4 linked regions of the Saccharomyces cerevisiae S288C genome follow. The gene in region 1 interacts genetically with each later gene. Each region holds a gene or a part of one and is shown in the gene's direction. Other genes may lie near its edges. The genes, in order: TAO3, ARG4, ACE2 and CRM1.

Region 1 (10,587 bases):
TATTTTAGCATATGAAATAGCCAATACATTCGGTGTGTCTAAGATTCTTATCTTACCTTCAGAAATGAAAAGCTCGTTATATCTGTCTAGTTCTTCTTGGTGTGCAGCCTGTGGAATTTTCAAATTGGTGAAGAAAAGAACGTTAGATAGAAGTGTCAAATTGTAATTGTCACTTACAATGGCCGATTCCTGAGTAATTATCTCAAATAATTTTGGCTCAATGGCATTCTTGAGTGCAAGAGCATCTTCTTCATTTAGCACGTTCTCATTTTGATTATTATTATTAAAAAGAGAATATATGGTTGAAATAAGTAGAAAGCAATATTCTCTGGATTTCGAAATTTTAGCTACCCTATTCAATTTTGTCGCTAAAAATGTAATGCTTTCTTTGACCAAAATATGTCTCGAAGTGGTGAAATCAAGAATAATCTTCAAAATTGTTTCAATGTGAATATTTTCCTCATCATTTACTCGAATTTTTTCCTCGAAGCAATCAGGTAACAAATCCAATAATTTCTTCAATGATATTTCAAAAACTAAATCCTCATATATCTCACTGATTGTCTTTAACCCTTCCAAACAAGCATAGTAAATGTTTTTGTTGTTATCCGTTAATATTTCTTCCGTGAAGTATTGAATAATTAGTGAAACTTCCTCTGGGGTTAAAAAGCCCTTCATTTTAATCATTTTTGTGAATTGAATCACAGATAGAGTCCTTATGGTAACCTCTGCCTTGGAGCTTCTTGTCAAGGCCATGCTCAAAATCATTATGATCTCGTCTTTGTATTCAGCCATTTTATTATTTGGCACCGGTGTTCCCAACGATTCTTTAGATGTTCTTCCAAACAAATCAATGTACGAGTCAACAAAAAAAGAAAAATTCATAATCAGCAGCTTAAGTTTGGCAACTTCAGATGTATTGATCAAAAATAAGGGGAAAGTTGACGAAATGACCTTGTTAAATATCTCGACATTCCCACTACCTATAGCGGACAAAATCTGGCAGGTTTGCTTCAAATCCTTTTCATATTTAAAATTTGGTTTCAACTCATCTAATACATGAGTGAAGAACTTTTCAAATGATACTTTGTCAAAATTGTATAGTTGCAATGCCATTAGATTAATAATTTTCAAGCAAGCATCGTAGTTAGTATATTGGCCCACATCATCACTCTGTTGGTCTTTATTGTACGGATTTAGTAGAGTGTTTTCATTTCCTTCGCTGTTTTGCATAATTTCAAATTTCAAAGCGTTCCAAAGTAACGTCCAATTTTCCAATATAGAAGAGCCGCCGAATTTTCTAACGCATTCTAATAGCGTCAGAAGTGTATCATTTTTCACTACCGGTGAAGAAGCAGTGAGTTTGTCCAGCAAATTGCTATAAGCATCTTCGGCAAATAATGGCGTCGCAGTAATTGCTGATCGCAAAGCTGTTTTTAAATCTTGGTTGGAGATCTTGTAAGGATCATGCTTTGGTGGCTTGAAAGTGATTGGGAAATAGCAAAATAAGACATCAAATAAGTCTTCTTTAAAATTCTCCACGTTTTGCAAGGACGATGTGATAGATTTATTAAGTGCAAATGACAAGAGTAAATTTCTAGGGTCTTTTTCACCATTGGCAACATGAAGAAATGTTTCAATAAACAAATCGTTGATTCGTTTGACTTGTTCGGTCGAGGATCCATTGACGAAAAATCTATCAAATATTTTTCTCAAAATTTTAAATGGCCACAGTCTAGTTGATGCCAAATGCTGGCCTTGTTGATAGTTGTCCAATAATAATCTCAAAAGTTGGGCTATCTCGTTAATGGAGACATATTTCATTGGAGCTAATGCGGCGAAGCCCTCCAAGACTTCTTTTGCAAGCGCTTGATCATCAAGCTTAGACTGGTAAAACTGAAATATTACTGAGCATTCGTTTTTGGAGAGGTGGTCCTTGGGAGTTTTTGCTAAGATAGTGGTTAAACATGTCAACGCTTTCTTCCTTTCTACCTCATTTTCTGAAAGAAAATAATCTTTCAACGCAACGACAACTTCCAGCAATTTTATTGATCGGTGTACAATAGAATCCGTTACTGTGGAAGCGGTTTCGTTGGCCTTCGAATCATCAATATTCAGATTGGCCATAAAGGTGACGACTGCTGAATTTAGTTCGTCTGGTGTCATTGTAAGGCCCAATTGTTCCGCTTTTTCCCAGTTAAAACAAGTTCAATGAAAACTAACAGCTAATAACTAGATGATCATAGAGGTGACTCCTTCATTGCACGTAAAATGTACATAATCTACAATTCACTTAAATAACTAAACCAAATTTCAGTATTTGAAAAATTCATACCTATTACCCGCTTTTAACTTTTTCTTGGCTACTCACTCATGAAGGCCTAAAAAGAAGCTGCAAAGTGGTATTACCTATCTCGAAGTATGTCCTAGCTCTCTTTGACTCATTGAGGTCACCTAGAGTATACCATCCCTTCCAAATTAGCGGTATCAACATCACATACATTGGGAGTTGGTTGAATCGTTATGGTTGTATCACTAACCACGAAACGACAGCCACACAGGAAAATACATATAGAACTGTAGAAATTGGGATAAAGGATTAGGCAAATGAAGAGAGAAAGCAAATGTGGATTTAGGTCTTCATAATAGGACGTGACTGGTTAAAGTGTGAAAATTCTGGTTGTTTGTTGTGTTCCCATTTTAATAACCCTTTTTAGTTTTGTTATACATCAAAATGGCCTCGAGATTTACTTTCCCGCCCCAGAGGGATCAAGGCATTGGTTTCACCTTCCCACCGACAAATAAAGCAGAAGGTTCTAGCAACAATAACCAGATATCAATAGATATTGATCCTTCAGGCCAGGATGTCTTGGAGGAAATAAACGAAGCGCCACTTAACACATTTCCTCTTCACCAATCCGTTACGGATGCACCTATTATTGATATTCCATCTCCTACTGATATGTCTGAAGGCACCTCTCTAAATAATCAATTACTTTTACGGCAACAACAGCAACAAGGAACGGGGGAAGGTCAAGCTCTTCCGCCTACCTTTGTTGAGGAGCAAAGTGATCAAAACAAGATTTCAATGCTACTACCTGAACAAAAGCAGCAAAGAATGCAAGAATCAGCACCGCCGGACATTACAGCAAAATCAGTAGCAGAGGACTACGTGACTACTTTGAGACAGCAAATGGCTACAGATTGGAAAAGTCCCTCTGAATATGCTCTTCATATACTTTTTACAAAGTTTATTCGTTACGCGGAGAACAAACTAAATATGTGTCTACAGCAGTTGGACATGGCGGAACCCCCAATTGTAGAAATTCTTGGTGAAGGCGTTGATCCCAGCTTTGATGAAATTATTAAATCTCTAGGTCACATTGCAAAGAAAAAACCGAAACCTGTGATTGATGCAATGATGTTTTGGAGGAAGACTAAATCTGAAGCGGCCAACTCTGCTTCAGAAGAAATGGAAAAACTATTAAAAGAGTATGAGTTTGAAAAGGCACATCCCTCGCAGGCTCATTTTTTAATGAATAGGCGGCTATCAAGATCTTCCAGTAATACAACCTCAAAGTACAAACATAATAACAATACCAATAATCTTCCTGGCATGAAAAGGCACGTTTCCTCATCTTTCAACAACAAAGTTCCGTTAATCAAAGCTAGTAGCAGTAACAATAGCGCTACTTCAAGTCCATCCATAGCGAACTCACAATTGAAAAGTTTAGAGAACACAATTGAAGTAGCAAAAGAAGAAGCATTCCTTGCAGATAGGAAATCTCTGATTAGTATATACATCCTATGCAGGGTGCTAAATGAAATTGTTAAGCAGGCTTCCAGCAATGAAGAAGAAGATTTATCTGATAAGCTAGAAGAGATTGTTTTTACTCAGTTAAAAACTACTGATCCACTTTCTATATCAACTAGTTTAATTAAGTCTTCGAATTGGAATTCTTTTGCCGAACTACTGGGCTCTATGTCTGAAAAGAAATTTTTGTCAGTTAGTGATCGATTTATAGCTGATCTAGAAAAAATCCCGGCGTATATACCTCCCGAGTTAGAGCCAAGTACTCATTTGTTGATTCTTGGTATGAGATATTTGAAGTTAAGAAATTATCCGTTGGAGAAATTTGAAGAAAGTGCAGATTTCATGAAAAGTTTATCAAAGTTCTTCGCAAAGACTGAAAATTTTCCGGTTTGTTTGGCGTATGCTGAAGTCACTAACCAGCTATTGTTGCCTTTGGCTGGCTCGTTGACGGCAGAAGTTAATCATCCAACGTGGGTAGAGGCAATGTCTACTTTACTGAACACTGCCAAGAGGCTACAAGCTGATAGTAAGTATTGGGTAAGTGGTTTCAAATTAACAGTTTCTATTTTGTGTGCATCACCACCAGACCTATTTTCTAAACAATGGCTATCGTTGTTGGAGGCAAATGCCTCAAAAGTTAAGTCCAAAAGTCTGAATGAAAGGATTATCTTTGCAGTTGGTTTATCCAGATTAGTTTGGGTCTATTTATATAGATGCCCAGAAACTTTAAATAATACTACAAGGACGCTTACCAAGCTTTTACAACTATATCTAAACACAAGGAAAAAAGAGAATTGGATAACCGGCGATTTTGGTCTCTTGAACCCATTGACAGACGCGTTAATATCAATTGGATTTTTACATCCGAATTTTTTAATGGAACAAGCTTTAATTCCATTGATACGGCAATCTTTCAATGGCTCTAACCTGGAAAATATCAATTACGAAAAACTGATTTTGACTATAAATACATACAAAGGATTGCTGGTTACAAAAGAGAGGCCAAGGTTTCCTGAGGATGATAACAGGCTTTATGAACTAAATTTAAACAATATTACAGTGAATCAGGTTCAAGAAGCCTCTTCCATAAACCATACAGAAATATCAGATTACTTTTATAAATTATTCCTTTTATTGGATTCTAGCATCGGTTCTGAAGTTTGGTCTCCTGAAAATCAGCACCAAAAGCAATCATCAAACGCATTCAGCCCATTTGGCTTTAGCTTTTCTAATGACAATGACTCAAGTAAAAATAAGTCGCTTTATGTTATATTGTTCGGCACCATCATTGAAGCTATACCATGTTGCCTTTCTATTTCACGCACTATCCCATATAAATCTACAATTGAGATTTTATCAAGGAACGCTGTTCATTCGGAGGTAATTATTTCTTCTAGCAGTCAAAATGCACTAAGAGCATTAGCATCTAAGAAGAATCCATACACCCTAATCACATGGTTTGCTAAATATTCATTTGATTTCGATGAAAAGACACAATCAAGTTATAACATGTCGTACTTGTCATCAAAGGAGTACAACAGATTATTGATACTTTATGTTGAGCTTTTGGAATGCTGGTTAGAAGAATTCCAATCGTCCAATAAAGAGGAAAATAAAAAAGAAACTGGTTTGGATGGAATTCGCTTGTTGCCGATCGATGCAGAACAAGAGGAGAGTAACGAAACCGAAAAACTGGAGTGGAAAAATACAGTTACAGTTATTGAAGAAGTAGAAGGGAATGGCTTATTTTTTCTTTGTTCACACGATGCAAAAATTCGTAGATTGGGCATCCAGATATTGAGAATTATTTTCAAGTTTGACGAAGCGATGATGGAGAAAACAGAGAAATTGTCAAACGGGCATTCTAGATCATCATCCCATTTTGCAGCTGATCGCGGAACAAGACTTATTGATTTATTAAATGAGTGTAATACCACTACCTTAATTAATCCACATAAAGCAACATTAAGTGCGGTTGAAAAAACGAGATTCAGTCGACTGAATTCTAAATATAAAAGAGGTCTACTTATCAAACTGGCCGAATCAGAGTACGGAGTAGATGCTGCACTATGGCAAAGGGCTTTTCCTAAATTACTGGCGTTGGTTTTCAAAACTTGTCCTATGGCGATGGCATTGTGTCGATCTATCGTTTGTATAAGACTTGTGCAAGTACACGAAATAATTCTGCGGGTAGCAAATGATGTTGATTTCAAACTCAAAAATGTTTTACCGGAAACAATAGTAAACCAATGGAAGCTATATTTGATTGCCGCATGTACTTCATTAACTTCCACGTTTGACCAAAAACTGCATATTCCGTCCAATATTCCTCAGCATGGCAGGAAAAAAAGTCAACAAATCTTTACTGTTCAGCACCAAAAAATCAAATCTGCGAAATCAATCTTCAAGATGGTTCTTCCCTTATTAAATGCAAAGTATATTATGATTAGGGATGCTATAATAACGGGGCTAAGCTCAATGAATATCAACATTTTTAAAGCATATGTGGAGGCAATTGATGTATTTTTAGTGGCATGGAAAGAAGGGAGCTCCAACAACCAAATCAGAGTGGAGATGTTTCATATTTTGACGATTTTATCGCCGTACTTAAAATCGGATATGATATTTAATGACGAATGGATACTTCGGAAATTATCAGAGTTTTTGCAGAAGACAAAACAGTTCCTCGAGAAGGATTCTGTGCAAATCTCCTACGAATATCAATCGCTGCGAAGCTACTTTGCAGGTCTTATATTGAGCTACTATATGGCAGTAAGAGAGCATCCGCTAATAGATGAATTATTTCCCTTCCAAGCACGCGCATCATGTTTCAATTTCTTGAAGGAATGGTGTGGTTATGGTGAGTACGAGCCAATATCTGAAGAAAGATATGCCATAATGATAAAAAATACAGAGAGTGGCAGAGATAGAACCGCTATTACAACTGGAATAGAATTCCAAAAAAACAGATTGCAGATGATCGTGCTAGAGACTATGGTTGTTTTATGTTCAGATCCAATAACCCAAACATTGGACGATGATTTAGAGTTGCCTATTGTGATTTCATTCGATACTGAAGATTTACTTGCTTGGATTGAAGCACTATTTGACTCGGACAATACTACTGTAAAAAATCTTGGTGTGCGTGCTTTGGAGAATCTCCTGGACAAAAATAGGGAAAATTTTAAACTATTTAGAGATGTTGCTTTCCAATGTGTTTCACACCACTCACATCCTTCGGTAGCTGTTTTATATTACACTACACTTTGTAAATCCGTTTTGAAATTGGATAATTTGGTTTTAGATGAAGATGAATTAGTCTCCTTGGGTTTGTATGGTTTAGTGGCAGATAAGGAAGATACAAGGACATTTGCTGTTGATCTACTTTCAGCTGTTGAAACGAAATTACATAATTCTTCTTATACCAAGGTATTTAAGGAGAGACTTGCAAATTCTTCAAAGACGGTTTACAAATCAACTGCAAAAGAAATTTCTAGCATATTTGCCGAACTGCTCTCTCAGGATTTGTGTTTGAGAATATTTTCCAGTTTGGTTAGAATACTTGATTTGTTTCCTTTCGAAATAAAAAGAGATTTGTTGGTGCTTATGGTACCTTGGGTAAACAAATTTACATTGAAATCTTTAGAAGAGTTGGACACGTTTATGGTATTGAATAACCTATTTTACATCACTATTGATCTTAACGACTCTTTACCGAACGAAGTAGAGCAGCTATGGATTTCTCTTGGCAAGGGTAATTCTTTCCAAAATATACACGTATCGCTGGAGTACATCATAAATTCTTCAATGAATCACTGCAATCCATTGTTTGTTCAGTATGCTAGAGATATTGTATTGTATTTGGCAAATATTCCTGGTGGCATTGGACTACTTGACACTCTATTGAATAATTTAGAACCGAAATACATGGTTCCTTTAGCGAAACATACGTTTAATGAGCCAATGAATAATAATAAGTATTCCTTTTTAGGGAATATCTGGGAACGACTAAATTACAATGGGAAAAGAATCATTTTTTCGAAGGCGCAGCTTTCGATTATCTTTTTAGTCAATTTGTTAACGAACTTGAGTGAATCTGTAAAGGCGAAAATTCCTCTTCTACTACATATGTCCATTTGCTTGCTTGACCATTATGTGCCGCTTATTCACGAAAGCGCGTGTAAAATTGCATCTACATTAATATTTGGATTGGCACCAAGTCACGAAAAGTCTGAGGAAACCGTGAAACTACTAAGAAATAAGCATGCCTTATGGTCATATGATAACTTGATGAAAAAAGGTGCAAGATCACCAAAAACTATGGACCTATTAATTAGGAACATAATCTCTATATTCTCGGACTTAGATGAATTTCAAGTAACTTGGCAAAGAATTGCCTTGAAGTGGGCTACCACTTGCTCAGTTAGGCACATAGCGTGCAGGTCATTTCAAATATTTAGATCATTATTGACATTTTTAGATCAGGAAATGTTGCGTGATATGCTTCATAGACTTTCGAACACTATATCGGATGGAAATGTCGATATACAAGGATTTGCCATGCAGATCTTGATGACTTTGAATGCAATCATGGCCGAACTTGATCCGACGAATTTGATCAGTTTCCCGCAGTTATTTTGGTCCATTACAGCATGTTTGAGCAGCATTCACGAACAAGAATTCATTGAAGTGCTGTCATGTTTAAGTAAATTCATTTCCAAGATCGATTTGGATTCTCCTGATACCGTACAGTGTTTGGTTGCGATCTTTCCTTCCAATTGGGAAGGTCGCTTTGATGGCTTGCAACAAATAGTTATGACTGGATTGCGATCAGCGAATTCCTTAGAGATTACGTGGAAATTTTTGGATAAGTTAAATTTGTTGAAAGATAGCCGAATTATAGCAAATACAGAGTCTAGGCTGCTTTTCGCATTAATAGCAAACCTTCCGAGATTTTTGAATGCAATGGATCGCAAAGATTTTACGGGCATTCAGGTTGCTGCAGATTCGTTAATTGAACTTGCAAATGCGTACAAACAACCTTCTCTTTCCCGTTTGATAGATTCTCTAGCAAAGAACAAGTTTAGATCAAAGAAAGATTTCATGAGCCAAGTAGTGAGTTTCATATCTAGAAACTACTTCCCCTCGTACTCCGCTCAAACGTTAGTGTTCCTTCTGGGTCTTCTGTTCAATAAAATAGGATGGATCAGAGTTCAAACTCTGGAAATTTTAAAATATGTTTTTCCTTTAATTGACTTAAGAAGGCCAGAATTTATTGGTGTCGGTGCTGATTTGATTTCTCCGTTACTCAGGTTACTATTTACTGAATACGAAGCAAAGGCCTTGGAAGTTTTAGATTGCGTACCAAATGTTTCTGGAAGTAAAATGGATAAGGATGTTTTAAGGATAACCATGGGAAATAAGGATGTGAAAGACGGCGATAATGCTACCACTACCTTGTTTGGTTTGCCTGAAGATAGCGGTTGGTCTGTTCCTATGCCAACAATGACGGCGGCTACGACAAGGCACAACGTTCACGCAGTTTTTATGACATGTGGTACAGGCAAATCAGATGAAGTATCTGCTCACGGATCGGATGATATGGATGCAGTTATCGAATTTCATGCGGATGGTGACTATGAACTCGGCAGAATGGATACAATTGTCGAGTTTCATGCGGACGGTGATTATGACCTTGGTAGAATGGACACAAACGATTCCATTTCTGTTGCGGAAGAAAAGGATGCTTCGTTAAGTCACATGTGGGCAGAGCTAGATAATCTTGATAGTTTTTTCACAAAGGACACAAATGTGCCAAATATCTCCTCTAAAATGGGGATGGGAATTCCACATGGACGTTCTGATTCGATTGAAACCACTCGCACAGATCAAACTTTTTCCTTTGAGTCTGCTCCACAGTTGTATGACAAAAAGGTCTCAGTCATACTGAACAGGAGCTTATCTAGAACACCGTCCAATGTTTCATTTAAAACTCATTTGGCTGATTCATTTGCTGTGAAAATAAACAGGAATGGAAAGCCAAGAATATAAGTTAATTTTTTCGTTCAAATAAATATAAAGCAGGCCTTGGTTTATGATAAGGTACCAATGATGAAGATATTTCGCATATAGCTAATACTGTTCGAAAATTAGATAATCTTATAGAGAAACTATTATCATTGTTTACTATATTATTCATGTTTTCTTTTAATTATCGAGCTTTTGAAGGTGAGGTAGTTTAGGAAGTGAGGCTGATAAGTAAAAATTGGATTTTAGGGAAAACTAGATCCAGGATTGGTACTATTTTCTTTTGTTATTGCAGTTTATCACCATTATTATTATTATTATTATTATTATTATTATTATTATTATTATTATTATTATTATTATCATATATAAATACACACATAAACGTTTTAAGCTTATGTTCAGCAAGTGCTGTAGCCACGATATTATAGAATATAAATCAAAGATAACGTTTTCATTCAGAGGGGTAATTTAAAGGTAGGTATTTCCCAAATAGCTGAGCATCTAACTGATCGAATACTCCAAGAATATCGTTTGAGTCAGTCATATTTTGTTCGTTTTTAATTTCAATATTAGGTGACATCTCCTCTTTATCTTCTATGTTCAAATTGTCTTGTGAAAGCGGTATTTGTAACTGGGGAAACCCTTCATAAGACGGTGAATTGTTATCAATCTTAATGCCGAAGTCATTATTATTTTTATTATTGTTATTATTGTTATTATTATTACTACTATTACCACTATTG
Region 2 (6,498 bases), on another chromosome or scaffold:
CGAAGTTGTAGGTTTGGCCCCCGGTGGTGAAGACTCCTTTACAAACAAAATCGCAGAGGGCTCAGACCCTTCTTTACTGTTGGACCAACGTCATTTGGCCTTGAGAGGAGATGCCTTGTCTGCAGTCATGAAAGTCCGTGCTGCTCTACTGAAAAGCGTTAGACGTGTTTATGATGAAGAACATTTGACAGAAGTTACCCCACCATGTATGGTGCAAACTCAAGTCGAAGGTGGTTCCACTTTGTTCAAGATGAACTATTACGGCGAGGAAGCTTACTTGACCCAAAGTTCCCAATTATATTTAGAAACCTGTTTGGCCTCCCTAGGTGATGTTTATACCATCCAAGAATCTTTCAGAGCTGAAAAGTCCCACACAAGAAGACATTTGTCCGAATATACCCATATCGAAGCTGAATTGGCCTTCTTGACTTTCGACGATCTATTACAACATATTGAAACTTTGATCGTCAAATCCGTGCAATACGTTTTGGAAGACCCAATTGCTGGCCCACTCGTAAAACAATTGAATCCAAACTTTAAGGCTCCAAAGGCTCCATTCATGAGATTACAGTACAAGGATGCCATTACCTGGTTGAACGAACACGACATCAAGAACGAAGAGGGCGAAGACTTTAAATTTGGTGACGATATTGCAGAAGCTGCTGAAAGAAAGATGACCGATACCATCGGCGTCCCAATCTTTTTGACGAGATTCCCAGTAGAAATCAAGTCTTTCTACATGAAGCGTTGTTCTGACGACCCCCGCGTCACTGAATCCGTCGACGTTTTGATGCCAAACGTTGGTGAAATCACTGGTGGTTCTATGAGAATCGACGACATGGACGAACTAATGGCAGGGTTTAAGCGTGAGGGTATTGATACCGACGCCTACTACTGGTTCATTGACCAAAGAAAATACGGTACTTGCCCACATGGTGGTTACGGTATCGGTACCGAACGTATTTTAGCCTGGTTGTGTGACAGATTCACTGTCAGAGACTGTTCCTTGTATCCACGTTTCAGCGGTAGATGTAAGCCATGATCTTTAGTTACTGAAGAGTACGTGAGCGCTCACATATATACAAATATTTATACCGATTAATATTTACGTTCCTCCCTCTCTCTAATTATTCATTGATTTATTCAAGAATTAGCGTTATAACAATAAATGGTTGGCGCAGGCAATTAATTTTTCTTTACTCTTCCAAACCCTCTGTTAACGACAATCAAATAACCTGATCTGCCAAGGCTCCATCATATCTGGCCTAGAACAGTTTTTTTTTTTCGATTATTTGTTCGTTCTTGTGGTGGTTACTCATTGGCAGAATCCCGAAAATCATGATTAGTAGATGAATGACTCACTTTTTGGATAAGCTGGCGCAAATTGAAACATGTGAAAAAAAAAAAAAAGGATTATAAAAGGTCAGCGAAGCACAGAACTCTGAGATAAGACTACCTTTCTTTAGCTAGGGGAGAATATTCGCAATTGAAGAGCTCAAAAGCAGGTAACTATATAACAAGACTAAGGCAAACATGTCAGACGGCACTCAAAAACTATGGGGTGGGAGATTCACTGGTGAAACCGATCCTTTGATGCACCTTTACAATGCGTCTCTTCCGTATGATTATAAGATGTATAAGGCAGATTTAGAAGGAACTAAAGTATACACAGCGGGCTTGCAGAAGTTGGGTCTTCTAACGGAGACAGAATTGGCAAAGATCCATGAAGGTTTGGCTGAAATCAAAAAAGAATGGGACGCTGACAAATTTGTCCGTCATCCAAACGACGAGGATATCCATACTGCGAATGAAAGACGTCTTGGTGAACTAATTGGCCGCGATATTGCTGGTAAAGTCCACACCGGTAGATCCCGTAATGATCAAGTTGTTACCGATTTGAGAATATACTGTCGTGACATTGTCAATGACACCCTCTTTCCAGCTTTAAAGGGCTTGGTTGAAGTTCTAATTAAGAGGGCCGAAGGTGAGATAGATGTCTTAATGCCAGGCTACACACATTTACAAAGGGCACAACCTATTAGATGGTCTCATTGGTTGAGCTCTTATGCAACATACTTCACCGAAGATTACAAGAGACTGGGTCAAATACTACACAGATTGAATCAATCACCACTGGGTGCAGGCGCTCTTGCTGGTCATCCTTACGGCATTGATAGAGAATTTTTGGCTGAAGGTTTGGGTTTCAATAGTGTAATTGGTAACTCCTTGGTTGCTGTTTCTGATAGAGATTTCATCGTGGAGTTGATGTTTTGGGGAACTTTGTTCATGAACCATATTTCTCGTTTTGCTGAAGATTTGATTATATATTGTACAGCAGAATTTGGTTTCATACAGTTGAGCGACGCCTATTCAACAGGTTCTTCTTTAATGCCTCAGAAGAAGAATGCAGACTCGTTAGAGTTGTTAAGAGGTAAATCCGGTAGAGTATTTGGTGATCTGACAGGATTCTTGATGAGTTTGAAGGGTATCCCATCTACTTATGATAAAGACATGCAAGAAGACAAAGAGCCACTATTCGATTGCTTAACAACTGTAGAGCACTCCATGCTGATTGCCACAGGTGTTATTTCTACCTTAACTGTAAATAAGGAAAAGATGGAAGCTGCTCTCACGATGGATATGCTAGCTACCGACTTGGCAGATTACTTGGTCAGAAAGGGTGTTCCATTCAGAGAGACTCATCACATATCTGGTGAGTGTGTCGCTACTGCTGAAAGACTTGGTCTAAGCGGTATTGATAAATTAACCTTGGAGCAGTATCAAAAGATCGATTCGAGATTCGGACAAGATCTTTTTGAAACTTTTAACTTTGAACAAAGCGTTGAAAGACGAGATGCTACTGGTGGAACCGCTAAATCTGCTGTATTGAAGCAATTGGATAATTTGAAATCCCAATTAAATTAGCAGATGGCGACGTTATGCGCAAGAATTTCATCAGGTCTGGTACTTCTAGGACTTCATCAACCCTTCTTTAAATACTTATTTTGTTATTAGTATTATATTTTCGAGATTGTGCTATGTATATATATACGTAGATAAGCAATTGTTATCTAATCAAGGATATTATTTGGATGATTTAGAAGATGACCGGCAAAAAAACGAAATAATGCTGCTATATACCTTGGCTAATCTTCCTCTCAAGCGTTTCAGGGAAAGACGTGTGTGATGGTTGAATATAAGTGAAGCAAATGGCCATGAGACTAAATAACTAAAACGGCCGCAATAATACACACTATTGTAACCTCCCAAAGTCGTTAACCAACTTAGCAGTTGTCTTAGTTTATACCCATTCGCACTCATTATCATTTTGTAAACTGGATAATGTAGGGCCTCGTGAATGTCTGAACCGGCCATTCTCAAAAATTTATAGTTCGATGGTTGTGACCCAATCTGCAGGATTCCAAGCTTGATTGTGGAAACATTTAACCTTTGATATTCCTTGAAAATTTTAAATAGTGAGTCGATTATTCCAGACGTTATAATTTCTGTACTATGATGGACTAAGTTCAGGTCCGCAGTCAAAGATGGATTGAACATAATTAGTTGGGTTTTTCTCTTCAAATGGGGTATAATGCTTAATAATGCTTGATAATACACAAATATACTTGAATGAATTTCAGATTCCAATGAGTCACATGAAATTACTCCGGATGGATGATATGATAACCTTGGCATAAACAATATGGATGCTAGCCTTGGTACATCAACAAAAAAACCCTCGAAGTCTTTTTCGCAGGTGGGATCAATGTAATATATGAAATCCTGATCTTCTTCGTGCTTCTTATAGACGTCTGCATTTTCAGTACAAATATATACTGTAAACCGTCTGCGATATAAATCCATCACTTGATTCCTTATGATAGGATCATTCATATCGCCCAGTATTAATACCACTTGAGATTCTGCTTCAGGTAAATTAGGTGGCAGTTTAAAAAAGGTCCTATACCCAAGGTATAAGCACAGGGAGGTGGCAGAAATTCCCAAGCCTAGCTTCCAATGATCCTGGAGCCCGATCCTCAAAGTTTTATATACTTTAGATCTGTTACTGTCGTTTTCCTGTAGTCGAGGAGTCTCCTTGTTGGATATCTTTCCAGATATGGATTCAATTGATTTTTCGACGTGGTTCTTGATCTCATCGCTCAAGACAGCGCTTTTCGAGACGAGCCAATACCCAGCATCAAATATCTGATCCACTATATCCTTACCACCAGACCAAGCCATTTTTATTTGTTTTTTTGAGAGCAAATATCTTCTGTTGTCTGTTTTATATTTCCTGTTTGTATGCCACCTACAACATTTTTACATGTTCCGACGCTGACCGAAAACGACCTGAAGGGAATTAAAGTTGACTACCCCCTAACTAGACCCTGTTCTTAACATTATCTATAACATGAAACTATCTTACACTTCACAGTAAAATTTTCAAGAGTAGTGGTAATATCAAATCCAAAATCCAAAAATGGGTATCAATAATCCAATTCCTCGAAGCTTGAAAAGCGAGACCAAGTATGTTCATATATATGCTTCCTGCTGCCCCTCCTCTAAACTTATGGATGCAGCTAAAATGTTCAAGATAGCTCTCTAGTCTGTGTCCATTGCTTATGGGGCATGAGTTTTCAAAAGTAATGTACTAACAACTTTATGATTGATTTATTTCGAATGTTTTAACTACAGGAAGGCCGCGAAAGTTCTAAGGAGTTTTGTTAAACCAAATCAAGTATTTGGAGCAGACCAAGTTATTCCACCATATGTGCTAAAAAGAGCTAAAGGTCTAGCAATTATCACGGTTTTAAAGGCTGGCTTCTTGTTTTCAGGGAGAGCAGGTTCTGGGGTGATTGTGGCCAGGTTAAAAGACGGTACATGGTCGGCTCCCTCTGCTATCGCTATGGCAGGTGCTGGTGCAGGTGGTATGGTCGGCGTTGAATTGACAGATTTTGTTTTTATTTTAAATTCGGAAGAGGCAGTGAGGTCCTTTTCTGAATTTGGTACAATTACTTTAGGTGGTAATGTGTCAGTTTCCGCAGGTCCTCTTGGAAGAAGTGCAGAAGCTGCAGCTTCTGCATCCACAGGTGGTGTCTCGGCAGTTTTTGCCTATTCCAAAAGCAAAGGTTTATTTGCCGGTGTGTCTGTGGAAGGTTCAGCCATCTTGGAGAGAAGGGAAGCTAATCGAAAGTTTTACGGCGATAACTGTACATCAAAGATGATTTTGTCAGGTAGAGTAAAAGTTCCACCAGCAGCAGACCCCCTACTCCGTATCTTGGAATCAAGAGCGTTCAACTTTACACGCCACGACCATGATGACAACGCTAGCGGTGATGATTTTTATGATGACGGTCAATACAGCGACAACACAAGCCATTATTACGACGATATTCCAGATTCCTTTGATTCTACTGATGAATCCTCAACACGTCCAAACACAAGATCATCAAGAAGAAGAGGAATGTCGCTGGGGTCACGCAGTCGTTATGATGATGATTATGATGATGATGGTTACGGACGTGGTCGCGGGTATGGAGATTTTGATAGCGAAGATGAAGATTATGATTACGGAAGATCTCCAAATAGAAACAGCAGCCGCAATAGAGGCCCACAGATAGATAGGGGTACTAAGCCGCGTGCGAATACCCGATGGGAAGATGATTTGTATGATAGAGATACTGAATACTCCCGTCCCAACCATTCCGGTAGGGATTATGATAATACCCGAGGAAATAGGCGTGGTTATGGTAGAGAAAGGGGTTATAGCCTTGGTCATGGCCCAACTCACCCCAGCAATATGAGCAATGTCGATGATTTATCACATAAAATGTCGAAGACAGGGTTAGGTAATGAATCCACTGCTACAAATTCGGCGACACCAACGGCTGTTGCTCTCTACAATTTTGCTGGAGAACAACCAGGCGACTTGGCTTTCAAAAAAGGTGATGTTATTACTATCTTAAAAAAATCAGATTCTCAAAATGATTGGTGGACAGGCAGGACTAACGGAAAAGAAGGAATATTCCCTGCAAACTACGTTAGAGTTTCTTAAATTATCGTCCTCCATATGTCTCGTTCCTATATATAGAATTTTTTTTTAGAGTTATGAAGTTGAGGATGGGTTCCTTATTCAGCTATGTTTACGAAATGTTTGTAGTTATATAATCACAATGGAAAGCTTCGAGGAACCACTTCTTAAGTACTCACTTAGTAGGTGGAGTATTTCTTGAAACTGGACTATACGCCATTAAACTAAAAAAAAATCGAGGCTGAAACTCCTTGGAATAATTCTGGGTAGATTAAGATAGCAAAGAAAACAATACTCTATTTTTATAGACATACGTACTTTTGTACCGAAAATTGCATATTGATGAACCTGCCTTCTTCCTTTAAAAGGAATCAAACTGTAAATCCGAGGCTTTCAGCAGCTCTAGTGACTTGTTTTTGTAGAATTTTCTGTGATTCTAATGAAGTATTTGTCATTAATAAAAAGTG
Region 3 (7,719 bases), on another chromosome or scaffold:
GTTGCACACCCGCTACTCCCTCATTGACAGCTCTCAAATCGTCATCGTCAGTAATATTAGACACATCAGACTCGATACTGATGGTTCTAATCAGTCTTTGCGAGGAACGTTGGCGTGTTAACGAATGTCTTCTTTGAGAACTCGATCTGGACCTTGCTTGGTAACCGACCGAGTAACTTCTTACACTCCCTGGACGTGATTCTTGTACCATCTTTTGCTCTAATTTTACGTGCGTATCTATGTGTGTGTATTCTATAAGAGTACAAAAAAAAACTGTATATTGTTGTCCTAATTCTATAACTTTTCCATTTGGCTTATCCTTACTTACAGCCACAGAGCTTCTATTCTGTCTCTTCGAGATTTAACCGGCTGGGCCGACAAGAAAAACGGTAGAGCACCATGTGAATATTATACCATAAAGAACAAAGAACAAGAGAACGATCTGTTGGTGGTGTTCTAAAGTGAAGGAGGTTACCAATCGCTTAGAAGAAGACTGGCCTATGGAATTCATATCTGCAGACTATTCTAGCAGTGACGGTAGTGATACCGAGAGCGAAAGTAGTAACAAAAGTGAGGTCCAAATCGAATACACGGAGAAAACTTGCATACAGAAAGCCGATTCCACTGATTTACCTGCAATACCGGATTCAATTATATTGAAGTACCACATCCCTCCGAATTTACAAAAGTACGAGCACCAGGATATGAATATGAGTCGATTTTGGCGTTCGTTCACATATTTTGAGTGGCGTCCGACTCCAGCGATTCACCGACAACTTCAGAAAATCATATGTAAATATAAAGAAACATTTATGAAACAGGAATACACTAATCCGTATCAACTGGTGGATTTTGACCCGTTGTTCATCTCACACTTGGGAGCCCCCAAACCTTTACACGTTTCCTTAACTCGATCGTTGTTGTTTGAAACTGAAGAACAAAGACATGTTTTCATTCAAGAAATGCGTAATGGTTTACGAAATAATGAAATAACCCCTTTTAAACTTCAAATCTGCTCATATCCGAAGTTATATATATCAGAACGAGCCAACACCTTGTACCTCGGTCTCCCTGTCTCAGAATGTCCCAATAAGGCACAAATTTCTCCTTTCAAAACGATAATAGCTGAGGCACTTCAGAAATCAGGCATTTCAAACTATCAGGATTTAATTGTAAGTAGGCAAAATTTACATGTTTCAATTGCCATCGCTAGCAACCCTTCAAAAGCCACATTAAAACGTTATCAACAATTAAACGAGACGATGGGGGCGCTTTTACTACTCAATAATGACTTTGCATACAAACTAGAGTTCTTAGTTAACTCTATCTATTGTGATGAAAACCGTCACTCCATTAGAATCCCTTTTAACTAATAGTGTTATAGGAATAGCCGCCCAAAAATACCGGGGCACTGAGAGCGGCTCGTCAGATAGGTGAAGGTTGTCATAATATACGATATATATCTCAAAACGGCAAAATGTAAACATTGGCACTTTGGGAAAATTTCAGGACACTTTTGGTTTACAGGTAAAGGATAAGGATGCTTGTAGCTAGTAAATCAACTCCAGAAAGCATTTAGCCATTAACGGGCAAATATTAAGGAGGGAGTACTGTTTGTTTACTCGCAATATTTCTGTCCCTTTTCTTTCATTAAGGGTTTTATAGTACACATAAACTTATAACAACCTCTCTCGGCATTGTACCTAGCAAACAAAAGCTACGTTGCAGGGAGACTCAAGCAACAGTTAAAGTGCTAGAAGAAAAAAATACAAGGCATAAATTCAAGAAATAACTAAAGAAATCTATAGGACCAAAAACGGTGTTAATACAATCATGGATAACGTTGTAGATCCGTGGTATATAAATCCCTCAGGCTTCGCGAAAGACACTCAAGATGAGGAGTATGTTCAACATCATGATAATGTCAATCCTACCATACCCCCACCCGACAATTATATTTTGAATAATGAAAACGATGATGGCCTCGATAACTTGTTAGGTATGGACTACTATAACATCGATGACCTGTTGACTCAAGAGTTAAGAGATCTGGATATTCCTTTAGTGCCTTCTCCTAAGACGGGCGATGGTTCTTCTGATAAAAAGAATATTGATAGAACTTGGAACCTTGGTGATGAAAACAACAAAGTCTCCCACTATAGCAAAAAATCAATGTCCTCACACAAGAGAGGTCTAAGTGGCACAGCGATATTTGGATTTCTCGGCCATAATAAGACATTGAGTATTTCCAGTTTACAGCAATCCATTCTAAATATGTCTAAAGATCCGCAACCCATGGAACTCATAAATGAATTGGGTAATCATAATACGGTAAAAAATAACAATGATGACTTTGACCATATAAGGGAAAATGATGGTGAAAATAGCTATTTGAGCCAAGTTTTGTTGAAACAGCAGGAGGAGTTAAGAATTGCTCTTGAAAAACAAAAGGAAGTGAACGAAAAATTGGAGAAGCAGTTGAGAGACAATCAAATACAGCAAGAAAAGTTGCGTAAAGTATTAGAAGAGCAAGAAGAGGTGGCGCAGAAGTTGGTTTCTGGGGCTACAAATTCTAATTCCAAACCTGGATCTCCAGTAATACTAAAGACACCTGCCATGCAAAACGGTAGAATGAAAGATAATGCTATAATCGTCACAACGAACTCTGCAAATGGCGGATATCAATTTCCTCCTCCGACGTTAATATCGCCTCGGATGTCAAATACTTCAATAAATGGTTCACCATCCAGGAAATACCATAGGCAACGATATCCAAATAAAAGCCCAGAAAGTAATGGATTGAACCTTTTTTCCTCTAACAGTGGTTATTTGAGAGATTCTGAACTGCTTTCATTTTCTCCACAAAATTATAATTTAAACTTGGACGGCTTGACTTATAATGACCATAATAACACCAGTGATAAAAACAATAATGATAAAAAAAATAGTACTGGTGATAACATATTCCGTCTGTTCGAAAAGACTTCCCCGGGTGGGCTAAGTATCTCTCCAAGGATAAATGGAAATAGTTTGAGATCGCCCTTCCTCGTCGGCACAGATAAAAGCAGGGATGATCGATATGCTGCTGGCACGTTCACGCCTAGAACACAGTTGTCACCTATCCACAAGAAAAGGGAATCCGTAGTTTCCACGGTCTCGACAATATCACAACTGCAGGATGACACTGAACCCATCCACATGCGAAATACCCAGAACCCAACATTAAGAAATGCAAACGCTTTAGCGTCATCAAGTGTACTACCTCCTATTCCTGGTTCCAGCAATAACACTCCAATTAAGAATTCTTTGCCACAAAAACATGTATTTCAACATACTCCCGTCAAAGCTCCACCAAAGAACGGAAGTAACCTAGCTCCGCTTCTAAATGCACCGGATTTAACAGATCATCAGTTAGAAATTAAGACACCCATACGAAATAACAGTCACTGTGAAGTGGAAAGCTATCCGCAAGTACCACCTGTCACACATGATATTCACAAAAGCCCCACTTTGCATAGTACGTCTCCTTTACCAGATGAAATAATACCTAGGACTACGCCAATGAAAATAACCAAGAAACCAACTACTCTGCCTCCGGGTACCATTGACCAGTACGTCAAGGAACTACCCGACAAACTATTCGAGTGCTTATACCCTAACTGTAACAAAGTATTCAAGCGTAGATACAACATAAGGTCGCATATTCAGACACATTTGCAAGATAGACCGTATTCATGCGACTTTCCCGGTTGCACCAAGGCGTTTGTTCGCAATCATGATTTAATAAGACACAAAATCTCCCATAATGCCAAGAAATACATCTGCCCATGCGGAAAGAGATTTAATAGGGAGGATGCTCTAATGGTGCATAGAAGTCGGATGATTTGCACCGGCGGTAAGAAATTAGAACATTCGATCAACAAGAAACTTACATCTCCCAAAAAAAGCCTGCTTGACAGCCCGCATGACACAAGTCCCGTAAAAGAAACTATCGCCCGGGATAAAGATGGGAGCGTCCTAATGAAAATGGAGGAACAGCTGCGAGATGATATGCGCAAACATGGATTACTGGATCCACCCCCATCCACAGCAGCGCACGAGCAAAACTCGAACCGCACCCTTTCAAACGAAACTGATGCTCTCTGACGAACATTTATCTATGCATGATATTAACATAATAAATAATAGTAACAATAATATAATACATTTATTTCTTTACGATTTACGTACACTGTAGTCTTAAGGGCCAAAAAAGGCAATAGTCATCGTTTATAGGGACATAACCCTAAAGGTTATATGCGACTCCTTCTCGAAAATGAAAATTTTTCACAACCTTTAGGGTACATTGCCCTTTAACTACTACAAACCAGCTTCACACATCCTTTGGTAAAACACAGTGTGACGATTTTAAATGACGCAACCTTTTGGGAGACACGATCTAAAACCCACTATATATGATGATACTGTTTATTGAATCATACACCCTGTTGGTTAGACCGGAAGAAAGCTAAAGTTGATCTCCGAAAATACAACGGTGCATCAACCAAAGAAAACATTGCAGGCGTTTCCAAGTGACACTGCATATTCGAAAGTATGGTTGATCTTATAGCGAGGGATGACTCCGTAGATACTTGCCAAGCTTCTAACGGCTACAATGGGCACGCAGGTCTTAGAATTCTGGCAGTATTCATTATACTGATATCGTCAGGATTGGGAGTTTATTTCCCAATTTTGTCATCACGGTATTCGTTTATAAGGCTACCAAATTGGTGCTTTTTCATAGCGAAGTTCTTCGGTTCTGGTGTCATTGTTGCCACAGCGTTCGTTCATCTTCTACAGCCCGCAGCCGAAGCTCTGGGAGATGAATGTCTTGGTGGCACATTTGCCGAATATCCATGGGCTTTTGGGATCTGTTTAATGTCGCTTTTCTTACTTTTCTTCACTGAAATCATCACGCATTATTTTGTAGCGAAAACGCTGGGACACGATCATGGGGACCATGGGGAAGTTACCAGTATTGATGTTGATGCTCCCAGTTCGGGATTTGTCATCAGAAATATGGACTCGGATCCTGTATCTTTCAATAACGAAGCTGCCTACTCCATCCATAATGACAAAACTCCGTACACTACTAGAAATGAAGAGATTGTCGCTACTCCTATAAAGGAAAAAGAACCCGGCTCAAATGTTACTAATTATGATCTGGAACCGGGAAAAACAGAGTCACTAGCTAATGAACTAGTTCCAACCAGTTCCCATGCGACAAATCTCGCTTCTGTACCTGGAAAAGATCATTATTCTCACGAAAATGACCATCAAGATGTCTCCCAGTTGGCCACACGTATCGAGGAGGAAGATAAAGAGCAGTATCTCAATCAGATACTAGCTGTTTTTATTCTAGAATTTGGCATCATCTTTCACTCTGTATTTGTGGGTCTTTCGCTATCTGTCGCGGGTGAAGAATTCGAAACCTTATTTATCGTTTTAACTTTCCACCAAATGTTCGAAGGTTTGGGTCTAGGCACAAGAGTTGCCGAAACGAATTGGCCAGAAAGTAAGAAGTACATGCCTTGGTTAATGGGATTAGCCTTCACTTTAACGTCACCCATAGCAGTCGCGGTAGGTATTGGTGTCAGACACTCTTGGATACCTGGCTCTAGAAGAGCATTAATTGCTAATGGTGTTTTTGACTCGATATCATCAGGAATTCTTATTTATACTGGACTAGTCGAATTAATGGCTCATGAATTCTTATACTCTAATCAATTCAAAGGACCTGATGGCCTCAAAAAAATGCTTAGTGCATATCTCATCATGTGTTGTGGAGCTGCTTTAATGGCTCTTCTAGGGAAATGGGCATAGTATCTCACGTATATTTTGTTAGATTAGATAGTTATTCATTATCAAAAAAAAAAAAATGCATGACCTATAATTTTACAACTGCTCTGCAGAGACGAGAGACATCTCGCAAAAAACAGCATATGTCAGCGACCAATAAGTATAAAAAACACATATTCCGTTATTTGGATATGCCCATTATTACCGAAGGGCAATCGGAATGACAATTTTTATGATTGGAATTGTATAATATACAGATAATTTAATCTATCCTTTTGAAGTGTGAAAAGGGCAGAGTAATGCCGGTATTATGTAGGATAATAGTTTTATTATATAACGGTCCCGAAAACTCTCTTCCTTGCACTATTACTCTCTTTCTCCTGTTGGTCATATTCGTCAACGAATTCGTAGTTATGCCTTAGATTCCATTGTTGCTTGACGAATTTCAACCCTTGAACATTAAAGCCTAGATCATCCTCGGTAGATTTTAATGCACTTCTTAATTCAGTCTTTACTCTATTTATTTGCAATTTCAATTCTTCATTTTTCTGAGAAACCAATTCTTTATGATTAAATTTGATAATGAAAAATAAATTCTTGCAAATTAATGGTAAGTGAGAGTGCAGCAAAGTTTTGTTTTGCATAACGGTATCAATAAATTTTAAAAATTTGAGGACATATGAGAATGGCATAACCATCAGTGCATCTTCTAACTGAGACATTCTTATTCTTAACAGGGTATCCATAATATATTGCTCAGGAGTTTTATTCACAGCAATTAGAACAGCGTTACCCTGTGGTTTTATTGGCGCTTCACCCAACTTCTTTCTTTGCCATAGCTTCATATCTCTGTTATATGCCTCTAAACCTTCAATCTCAGCAATTCCTAAATCTAGCGCCTCCATAAGTCTTTCACCAGCCTTTAACGATTCTAAAGTCTGTTTATGAACACCGGATGCTTCATCTTCAACGCCTTCACCCGATGCATCAGCTTTAAATGCATCATCACCGTTTCCTTCTTCCAAAGAAGTTAGCAATGTATCCTCGTACTGTTCTTCAAGTTCTTTCTCCTTTTCCTCTTCTAAAAATACCTGGTCCTCGGTTTCTTCCCAGATTCTTATACTGTGATCATGGGATGAAGAAACAACAAAGCCGCCATCAGTAGCAACCGCCAAAGCCCAAACTTCGCTCTGATGAGCGTATAGTTTTTGAATGCATTCAAATTTCTCGCCATCCCAATATTTCACCACTGCGTCTTTAGAACAACTAAAGAAGTTGTGAGACTGTGGTAAGAATTTAACGTTCATAATCGAATCCTGATGGGCAAATAAAGACTTGTGACAGTCACCAAAATCTAAACCCCAAATCTTGATATTTTTGTCTGCGGAAGACGTAATAATCATCTTAGAATCAAATGAAATATCGATAGATAGTACAGGTAATTTGTGCCCATATAAACTTAGGTAAAACTTCATTGAGTCCAAAAAGAATACCTTAACAGTATTATCCAGCAACGAGATGGCTAGATATCTATCGTCAGGAGAAACCCGTACACATAAAATGTCGTCAGTTAATTCCAAAGTTGTATCATGGTGCAGTTTTAAAACAGGCAGGAATTTGTTCTTGGTACCTGGCACTAGGCTATTTTCAACTTTGAAATCCCAAAACTTGACAGTTTTATCGGCAGATCCGGTCACTAATCGTTTACCATCTGAGGTCAGATCTAGCGACCAAATTGCCGCATCATGTGCATCTTCAATGGTATCCAAAAGACTTGATGATGCTAGATCAAAGAGCTGTAACTCCCCGTTTCTTGTACCCAGTATGACTAGTAGCCCACCTGGCAAAAACTTACAAGTTAATGCATACCCACATTCGAAA
Region 4 (8,779 bases), on another chromosome or scaffold:
TTTCTTCAGGTAGTACTTTATTTGCACATAATCATGCTCCTGAGTCGAAGCTACAATCCAGGAAACTTGATAGGTTATCAAGGTGTTTATTTTATGTTTTCCACTAGTGTTTTTTTAATTCAAGAGGCACTTCACATGTGCGGTGAAGGACCAAGATTATATTTTAGGCAAAAATGGAACAGCATACGACTCAGTATCATAATTATAGCCTTTATTATGAACGCTGTAGCATTCCACGTTCCAGCCTCTCACTATTGGTTCCACAATATAAAGGGGTTTTTCCTGTTAGTGATATTTTTGTTTATTATTCCTCAAAATGACACACTAACTGAACTATTAGAAACCGCAATGGCAAGCTTACCGCCTATTCTATCATTGACCTACACTTGGGGGGTTTTATTTTTAGTATATGCTATTGCTTTGAATCAAATCTTCGGCCTAACAAGGTTAGGGAGTAATACGACCGATAACATAAATTTTAGAACTGTAATCAAATCCATGATTGTTCTGTTTAGATGTAGTTTTGGTGAGGGCTGGAATTATATCATGGCCGACCTAACTGTGTCAGAACCTTATTGCTCCTCTGATGATAATTCAACCTATACGGACTGTGGATCAGAGACATATGCCTATTTGTTATTAATGTCGTGGAATATTATTTCCATGTATATTTTTGTGAATATGTTTGTTTCGTTGATTATTGGTAATTTCAGTTATGTTTACCGTAGCGGTGGATCTCGCTCTGGCATCAACAGATCGGAGATAAAAAAATACATTGAAGCTTGGTCCAAATTTGATACTGATGGAACTGGCGAGCTTGAGCTGTCCTACCTCCCAAGAATAATGCATTCATTTGACGGTCCTCTTTCATTTAAAATTTGGGAAGGTAGATTGACAATAAAAAGTCTAGTCGAGAACTACATGGAGGTTAACCCAGATGATCCATATGACGTCAAAATAGACCTGATCGGACTGAACAAAGAGCTGAATACGATTGATAAAGCAAAGATCATACAGAGGAAGTTACAGTACAGAAGATTTGTACAAAGCATTCACTATACGAATGCTTATAATGGATGTATCAGATTCTCGGATTTGTTATTACAAATACCTCTCTATACAGCTTATTCTGCAAGGGAATGTCTAGGTATTGATCAATATGTCCATCATCTATATATCCTGGGTAAAGTGGACAAGTACTTAGAAAATCAAAGAAACTTCGATGTATTGGAGATGGTGGTAACAAGATGGAAATTTCATTGCAGGATGAAACGTACCATTGAACCCGAATGGGATGTTAAAGATCCCACAGTATCGTCTCACATTTCGAATATAAACGTAAATCTGGAACCTGCTCCAGGAATTTTAGAAAGAGAACCTATTGCGACACCTAGAATGGACTACGGTGTTAACAATTTTATGTGGTCTCCGAGAATGAATCAAGACTCTACGATGGAGCCCCCGGAAGAACCAATAGATAATAATGACGATAGCGCAAATGATCTAATTGATAGATAAATTATATAAGGGCATATTTAAGAGGCTTTATAGATGTAAAAATGAACAATAAGAATAATTTAAATTTGTTTTATTGAGAGGTGATTTTCTAGAGCATGTCAAACTTTACTATTCAGGGAAAAAAGAAAAGAAAAAAATGCGCAAGCCCGGAATCGAACCGGGGGCCCAACGATGGCAACGTTGGATTTTACCACTAAACCACTTGCGCTTACTGATTATATCTTAATGGTTGAAGAGATCTGAATAAGTTTTATCTTCCTCTGGGCAAAGAATACTATACATTGCAAGAGTACCCATTAGAAGGGAATTAATTTATGCACTCTAAATCTTTTTTGATTATTCCGGATATTATTTTTGTTGATAATTAGAGGTAAAAAATAGTATTAATGAAGAAATAAGTATTGATCTTCTTATACTAAATAAGAGAGGTATATAAAACACACGCCGATTGGTCATATTAATCATGACCAATATAATAGTGATTCCGGTAGTTACTATACATTGATGTGACGACTCATATTCCTCATATATGTACCTACCATATCATGTTCAACTAATAGATTTTAAGCACAGCTTCAGTATTGTCTCAGCTTCTCGTTTAACATTCCTTCTGCAATAGGTGCAATCACACTTAAACGTATACGAGGTGTACATTAATATACGATGTAAGCATTATATTGTTACCATAGCAACTCATGTCACTATTAATTACTCTCGTTCCAACAATTTTGTATTTGAAGCTTTAACGGGTGTTAAATGCACAGCCGATACGGCTCATCCGAAAAGTAACGCCAATTATATTAACAGCTTTTCCATTTATTTAGAATGGCGATACAACGGAAACATACGAATATGATAGTACTCAATTGTTGTGTTGGAATAAAAATCCACTATCGTCTATCAACTAATAGTTATATTATCAATATATTATCATATACGGTGTTAAGATGATGACATAAGTTATGAGAAGCTGTCATCGATGTTAGAGGAAGCTGAAGTGCAAGGATTGATAATATAATAGGATAATGAAACATATAAAACGGAATGAGGAATAATCGTAATATTAGTATGTAGAAATATAGATTCCATTTTGAGGATTCCTATATCCTCGAGGAGAACTTCTAGTATATTCTGTATACCTAATATTATAGCCTTTATCAACAATGGAATCCCAACAATTATCTCATCATTTACCCATTTCTCATGTTGTGTACACATTATATACCTCCCAGTTACTGTCAATCCTCTCCTCTTATATCGTTTCAATACAAATAATATATTATGAAGGGCAATATTACATCATTACCCGGAGATATATACTATTTGGAATGATCTTTCTTTATAAGAAAAAAAAAGAATTTCGCAGATTTCCCTGGCTTTCCTTATTCTTCCTACGTTAGCATTATTATGAATTATCGCTAATAGCAAAGGCAAAAAAGATTATCAACTGCAGGATATTCGGTCACAACTTTGACATAGATCTTGAGAACCTCAACACTATTCATTTCTCTGGCCTGATTATTTTAAGTAAAGTCAATCATTGTTAAGTTTTCTTTTGTTCTTTTCTATCATTCTCGCTCTTTCAATTACTTACACCTACAATAATAGACGTTGACCTGTGAAAGGCAAGAAACTTAACTAATAGTATAATTAAGAAGAAGTTAACATTTTACTCTACATTATTGAAACCGCTCACTGACTTCAAAAATAGGATAAAAACATAATATGGAAGGAATTTTGGATTTTTCTAACGACTTAGATATCGCTCTATTAGATCAGGTGGTATCTACATTCTATCAAGGTTCAGGTGTTCAGCAAAAGCAAGCCCAAGAGATTTTGACTAAATTTCAAGATAATCCAGACGCTTGGCAAAAAGCTGACCAAATTCTTCAATTCTCAACTAACCCTCAATCAAAATTTATTGCCCTTTCCATCCTTGATAAATTAATTACTAGAAAATGGAAATTGTTGCCGAATGATCATAGAATTGGAATTAGGAACTTCGTTGTTGGTATGATTATCTCCATGTGCCAAGACGATGAAGTATTTAAAACACAAAAGAACCTGATCAATAAGTCGGACTTGACTTTGGTCCAAATTTTAAAGCAGGAATGGCCTCAGAATTGGCCTGAATTTATCCCAGAACTAATCGGCAGTTCAAGTTCCTCTGTTAATGTTTGTGAAAATAACATGATCGTTTTGAAACTGCTATCCGAAGAAGTCTTCGATTTCTCTGCGGAACAAATGACACAAGCTAAAGCTTTACATTTGAAAAATTCCATGTCAAAAGAATTTGAACAGATTTTTAAATTATGTTTTCAAGTTTTGGAACAAGGTTCTTCAAGCTCTCTAATAGTGGCAACCTTAGAATCTTTACTGAGATATTTACATTGGATTCCTTATCGTTATATTTATGAAACCAATATTTTGGAATTATTAAGCACCAAATTCATGACATCGCCTGATACAAGAGCCATCACATTGAAATGTTTGACTGAGGTTTCAAATCTAAAAATTCCACAAGATAATGATTTGATAAAAAGACAAACTGTACTTTTTTTCCAAAATACTCTACAACAAATTGCCACAAGTGTGATGCCCGTGACTGCCGATCTGAAAGCCACTTATGCAAATGCTAACGGTAATGATCAATCTTTCTTACAAGATTTAGCAATGTTTCTAACTACATATCTCGCTCGTAATAGGGCCCTTCTAGAGAGTGATGAATCGTTAAGAGAGTTGTTGTTGAATGCGCACCAATACTTAATTCAATTATCCAAAATCGAAGAAAGAGAACTATTTAAGACGACATTGGATTACTGGCATAATTTAGTAGCAGATTTGTTTTATGAGGTTCAGCGTTTGCCTGCTACCGAAATGAGCCCATTGATACAGTTATCAGTCGGTTCACAAGCTATCTCAACTGGATCTGGCGCCCTAAATCCGGAATATATGAAAAGATTTCCATTAAAAAAACATATTTACGAAGAAATTTGTTCACAGTTGAGATTGGTCATTATTGAAAATATGGTTAGACCAGAAGAAGTCCTTGTGGTTGAAAATGATGAAGGAGAAATTGTTAGAGAGTTCGTTAAAGAATCAGACACTATCCAATTATACAAATCAGAAAGAGAGGTTCTTGTATATTTGACCCATTTGAATGTTATCGATACAGAAGAAATCATGATCAGTAAATTGGCAAGGCAAATCGATGGTTCCGAATGGTCATGGCATAATATCAACACTTTATCTTGGGCTATTGGTTCCATATCTGGTACAATGAGCGAAGATACTGAAAAAAGGTTTGTAGTTACTGTTATTAAAGATTTACTAGATTTAACGGTCAAGAAAAGGGGTAAAGATAATAAAGCTGTTGTTGCATCGGATATTATGTACGTCGTGGGCCAATATCCTAGATTTTTGAAGGCTCACTGGAATTTTCTAAGAACAGTTATTTTGAAACTTTTTGAATTTATGCATGAAACTCATGAGGGTGTTCAGGATATGGCATGTGACACATTCATTAAGATTGTTCAAAAATGTAAATATCATTTTGTTATTCAACAACCCCGTGAGTCTGAGCCTTTCATCCAAACAATAATTAGGGATATTCAAAAGACAACTGCTGACCTACAGCCGCAACAGGTCCATACATTTTACAAGGCTTGTGGTATTATTATTTCTGAAGAAAGAAGCGTAGCGGAGAGAAATAGATTATTAAGTGATTTGATGCAACTGCCAAATATGGCTTGGGACACTATAGTGGAACAATCCACTGCTAACCCAACATTGTTGTTAGATTCTGAAACTGTCAAAATTATTGCGAATATTATAAAAACCAATGTAGCTGTCTGCACCTCAATGGGAGCAGATTTCTATCCACAGTTGGGTCACATCTATTACAATATGCTTCAGCTATACAGAGCTGTTTCTTCGATGATTTCTGCTCAAGTTGCCGCAGAAGGTCTAATTGCTACGAAGACACCAAAGGTTCGTGGTTTGAGAACCATCAAAAAAGAGATTCTGAAGCTTGTTGAGACCTATATATCCAAGGCGAGAAATTTGGATGATGTCGTTAAAGTGTTAGTTGAGCCATTATTGAACGCTGTACTTGAAGACTATATGAACAACGTTCCTGATGCAAGGGACGCCGAAGTGCTAAATTGTATGACAACAGTAGTAGAAAAGGTTGGTCATATGATCCCACAAGGTGTTATTTTAATTTTACAGAGTGTATTTGAATGCACTTTGGACATGATTAACAAAGACTTCACAGAATATCCAGAGCATCGTGTAGAATTTTACAAGTTATTGAAGGTCATCAATGAGAAATCATTTGCTGCATTTTTGGAACTACCTCCGGCTGCCTTTAAATTGTTTGTTGACGCTATTTGTTGGGCGTTCAAACATAACAATAGAGATGTCGAAGTTAATGGTCTACAGATTGCATTAGACCTAGTGAAAAACATTGAAAGAATGGGAAATGTCCCATTTGCAAATGAGTTCCACAAGAATTATTTTTTCATTTTTGTCAGTGAAACGTTTTTTGTTTTAACCGATTCCGACCACAAATCCGGTTTTTCTAAGCAAGCTTTGTTACTAATGAAGTTGATTTCTTTGGTTTATGATAACAAGATTTCGGTACCATTATATCAAGAAGCTGAGGTACCACAAGGAACTTCAAATCAAGTCTACTTAAGCCAATATTTGGCTAATATGTTAAGTAATGCATTCCCCCATTTAACATCCGAACAAATCGCAAGTTTTCTCTCTGCATTAACTAAACAATACAAAGACTTAGTGGTCTTCAAAGGCACTTTGAGGGACTTTTTGGTGCAAATCAAAGAAGTCGGAGGTGATCCAACAGATTATTTGTTTGCTGAAGATAAAGAGAATGCATTAATGGAACAGAATAGACTAGAGAGGGAAAAAGCTGCCAAGATTGGTGGGTTATTAAAACCTTCCGAACTTGATGATTAGAGGCGGTGGCGTATCATTCTTTAAATTTCCAATATTTTTTCCCTTTTATTAACTAGTCTCTAATTTATAACCACGGGGTTTTCATTTCTTTTTCACTTCATATTGTATGTAAATTGGTTCTTCAAAGTTCCAATACTCTAATATAGTACTAAATACTATTTAGCCAACTTCATGGAAAAGTAAAGAATATTATTTGAAGATTCTTAAGTGATTACCCATTTTATTGTTATTATTGATGTATGTACATGATTGTAGTAAAATACTTATACGCCTTATGCTCAAGTTTTTTTGATTGCATCTTGAATTTTAACGAAACTGTTTTTGGGCCCAGCCACAGAGCCTTTAACCCAAATAACATTATTTTCATCGTCGACTTTCAAAACTTTAACATTTTGGATAGTAACATGCTCGTTTCCCATATGACCAGGCATCTTTCTTCCTGGCAGTACCCTACCTGGGTCTTGGTTTTGACCATAAGAACCACCGTGTCTATGCATAATAGATGTACCATGAGATGCTCTCAAACCCTTGAATCCATACCTTTTCATCACACCAGTAAAACCTTTGCCTTTGCTGACTGATCTGACGTCAACATATTGGCCTTCTTTGAAAAAAGAGGGTTTCAATAATGTGCCAGGTGGTATTAATCCCTTTTCATCTTTAACTCGGAATTCGGCCACATGCTCTTTTGGGTTAACAACTTTAGAAGCGAAATGACCAAGCATTTGTCTGCTAACTTTAGACAAATGCCTTGATCCGTACCCTACTTGACACGCGAAGTACCCATTGACCTCCGAAGTTCTATGCATTATTACTTCAACATTATTAACTTCTAATATAGTAGCGGCGCTTCTTTCACCAGTAGATTTATCAAAATAAGGCATCATTCCCTTCTTACGAGTAATTAAACCGCATCTTTTTGGTAGCCATTTTCTCGCATTTGCCAGTTCAGGTGAGTGATTAATCGCTGGAGCCTCGGTTGTTATACTGTTAGCAATACTAGGAGCCACTAGAAAAGGCCGAGTAGAAGAATATCTAACATGAAGTTTTGATATGCTAAATATTGATCCCTGTAGGAACTTCGACATGGCTATATTTGTTCTCTCTTGCTTTCAAAGAGTTGCCCTTTCTCGTCCCAGTTGTCAATTTATCGTCCATATATTTTTCAATAAAGTTCGTTTGACAAGGGATTACCCGAAAACAAATATCTCGCGACTGTAATAGGAGAAATGGCATTAGCATTTCAATTAAGGAAAGAAGAGGATCATCGAGAAACGAATTTATGGTGCTTATTTACTGTTACAACATTTCATGATTTTGAATTTTATTTATACATGTACATTCTCGTACGGTGTTATTTCGTAATTATGGGATGTGCCCAGTTGCTTCCTTAAGTCTTCCGTAGAAGCTTTAAAAGGTAAGATTTCCCCCACACTAGGAGGCTGCAAGATGTCAGTGTCATCCAATAACCCACTAACACGGAAATTTATTGCATTTGACAACGTTGACGGCGGTTGTGATAAAGAAGATGATGTTGTAGTGGATGAGTTACCAGGGAGATATTGGGCCTTTATTAAATTTCTTAAAGATCCTGCAGGCTTATAGCGAGGTTTCATAGAAAGTTCTGATGGGTTGGTCATAACAACACTTTGTCTAAGCTGATATGGAAGGGGCGTACAAAATTGCTTTGTCAAAGATGTTGACGGTATTTTCGTAGGCGAACTGTAAAACATTTCAGGATGATCCATTGGATTCAACGCTGTCCCATTAAGCCTAGCTGTAGGTACATGTTTTAGTGTTTTTGGAGGTTTAGGCCTTCCTTTGAATGACGTCAAGGAATGCGAAGAGGTGGAATAAATGAATTGGGTAGGCGTGGGCAAATCTCCGATGTTCTCATAATTTTGAGGATGTTCTAACGGGAGGGGATAATTATAGTAGTAATTGTCATCATTGCTCTGGTTGCAGTGATCTATAAAATATGTAGAATATTGCTGAGCAGAAGTAAGATTTGACTGACCCGAACCCTCCGAAAGGGCCCGTACGGGAGCCTTTGCAGAGTGAATATGGTCCTTAGCGACCGTGTCAGAATATATTGATGAGGTAATTCTCGTTGAAAGACCATTCGGTGGTGGGAATGTAAGAGATAGAGACGATTCGGGAATCACTTTTTCTCTGGTTGCTACTTCTGAATATACTGACGATGCAATGTTTTTATTCTCTTGTGGTGCCGGCACTTGCAGATAATCAGTTGCATCTTCATATTCCTCATTGGCGCTGGAAC

The links.
Region 2: of TAO3 (region 1) and ARG4, changing one suppresses a phenotype caused by changing the other (phenotypic suppression), as found in Saccharomyces cerevisiae (one study listed by BioGRID).
Region 3: of TAO3 (region 1) and ACE2, changing one enhances a phenotype caused by changing the other (phenotypic enhancement), as found in Saccharomyces cerevisiae (one study listed by BioGRID).
Region 4: of TAO3 (region 1) and CRM1, changing one enhances a phenotype caused by changing the other (phenotypic enhancement), as found in Saccharomyces cerevisiae (one study listed by BioGRID).

The regions. Positions count from the first base shown.
Region 1 is NC_001141.2:105,385-115,971, reverse strand, and holds TAO3 (Tao3p), read left to right. Parts: upstream 1-2,734; coding exon 2,735-9,865; downstream 9,866-10,587. Other genes in the region: MET18 (Met18p), read right to left, coding at 1-2,166; ASG1 (Asg1p), read right to left, coding at 10,296-10,587. UniProt on the Saccharomyces cerevisiae protein: Seems to play a role in cell morphogenesis.
Region 2 is NC_001140.6:136,438-142,935, reverse strand, and holds ARG4 (argininosuccinate lyase ARG4), read left to right. Parts: upstream 1-1,533; coding exon 1,534-2,925; downstream 2,926-6,498. Other genes in the region: asparagine--tRNA ligase DED81, read left to right, coding at 1-1,042; YSC83 (Ysc83p), read right to left, coding at 3,085-4,242; YSC84 (Ysc84p), read left to right, coding at 4,481-4,527, 4,696-6,055; MIP6 (Mip6p), read right to left, coding at 6,403-6,498.
Region 3 is NC_001144.5:400,937-408,655, reverse strand, and holds ACE2 (DNA-binding transcription factor ACE2), read left to right. Parts: upstream 1-1,833; coding exon 1,834-4,146; downstream 4,147-7,719. Other genes in the region: bifunctional choline kinase/ethanolamine kinase CKI1, read right to left, coding at 1-211; USB1 (phosphoric diester hydrolase), read left to right, coding at 501-1,373; low-affinity Zn(2+) transporter ZRT2, read left to right, coding at 4,594-5,862; snoRNA-binding rRNA-processing protein DIP2, read right to left, coding at 6,168-7,719. UniProt on the Saccharomyces cerevisiae protein: Plays a role in regulating basal-level expression of CUP1. Activates EGT2 transcription in the absence of SWI5.
Region 4 is NC_001139.9:929,298-938,076, forward strand, and holds CRM1 (exportin CRM1), read left to right. Parts: upstream 1-3,243; coding exon 3,244-6,498; downstream 6,499-8,779. Other genes in the region: calcium channel protein CCH1, read left to right, coding at 1-1,518; mitochondrial 54S ribosomal protein uL3m MRPL9, read right to left, coding at 6,777-7,586; TOS2 (Tos2p), read right to left, coding at 7,827-8,779. UniProt on the Saccharomyces cerevisiae protein: Receptor for the leucine-rich nuclear export signal (NES).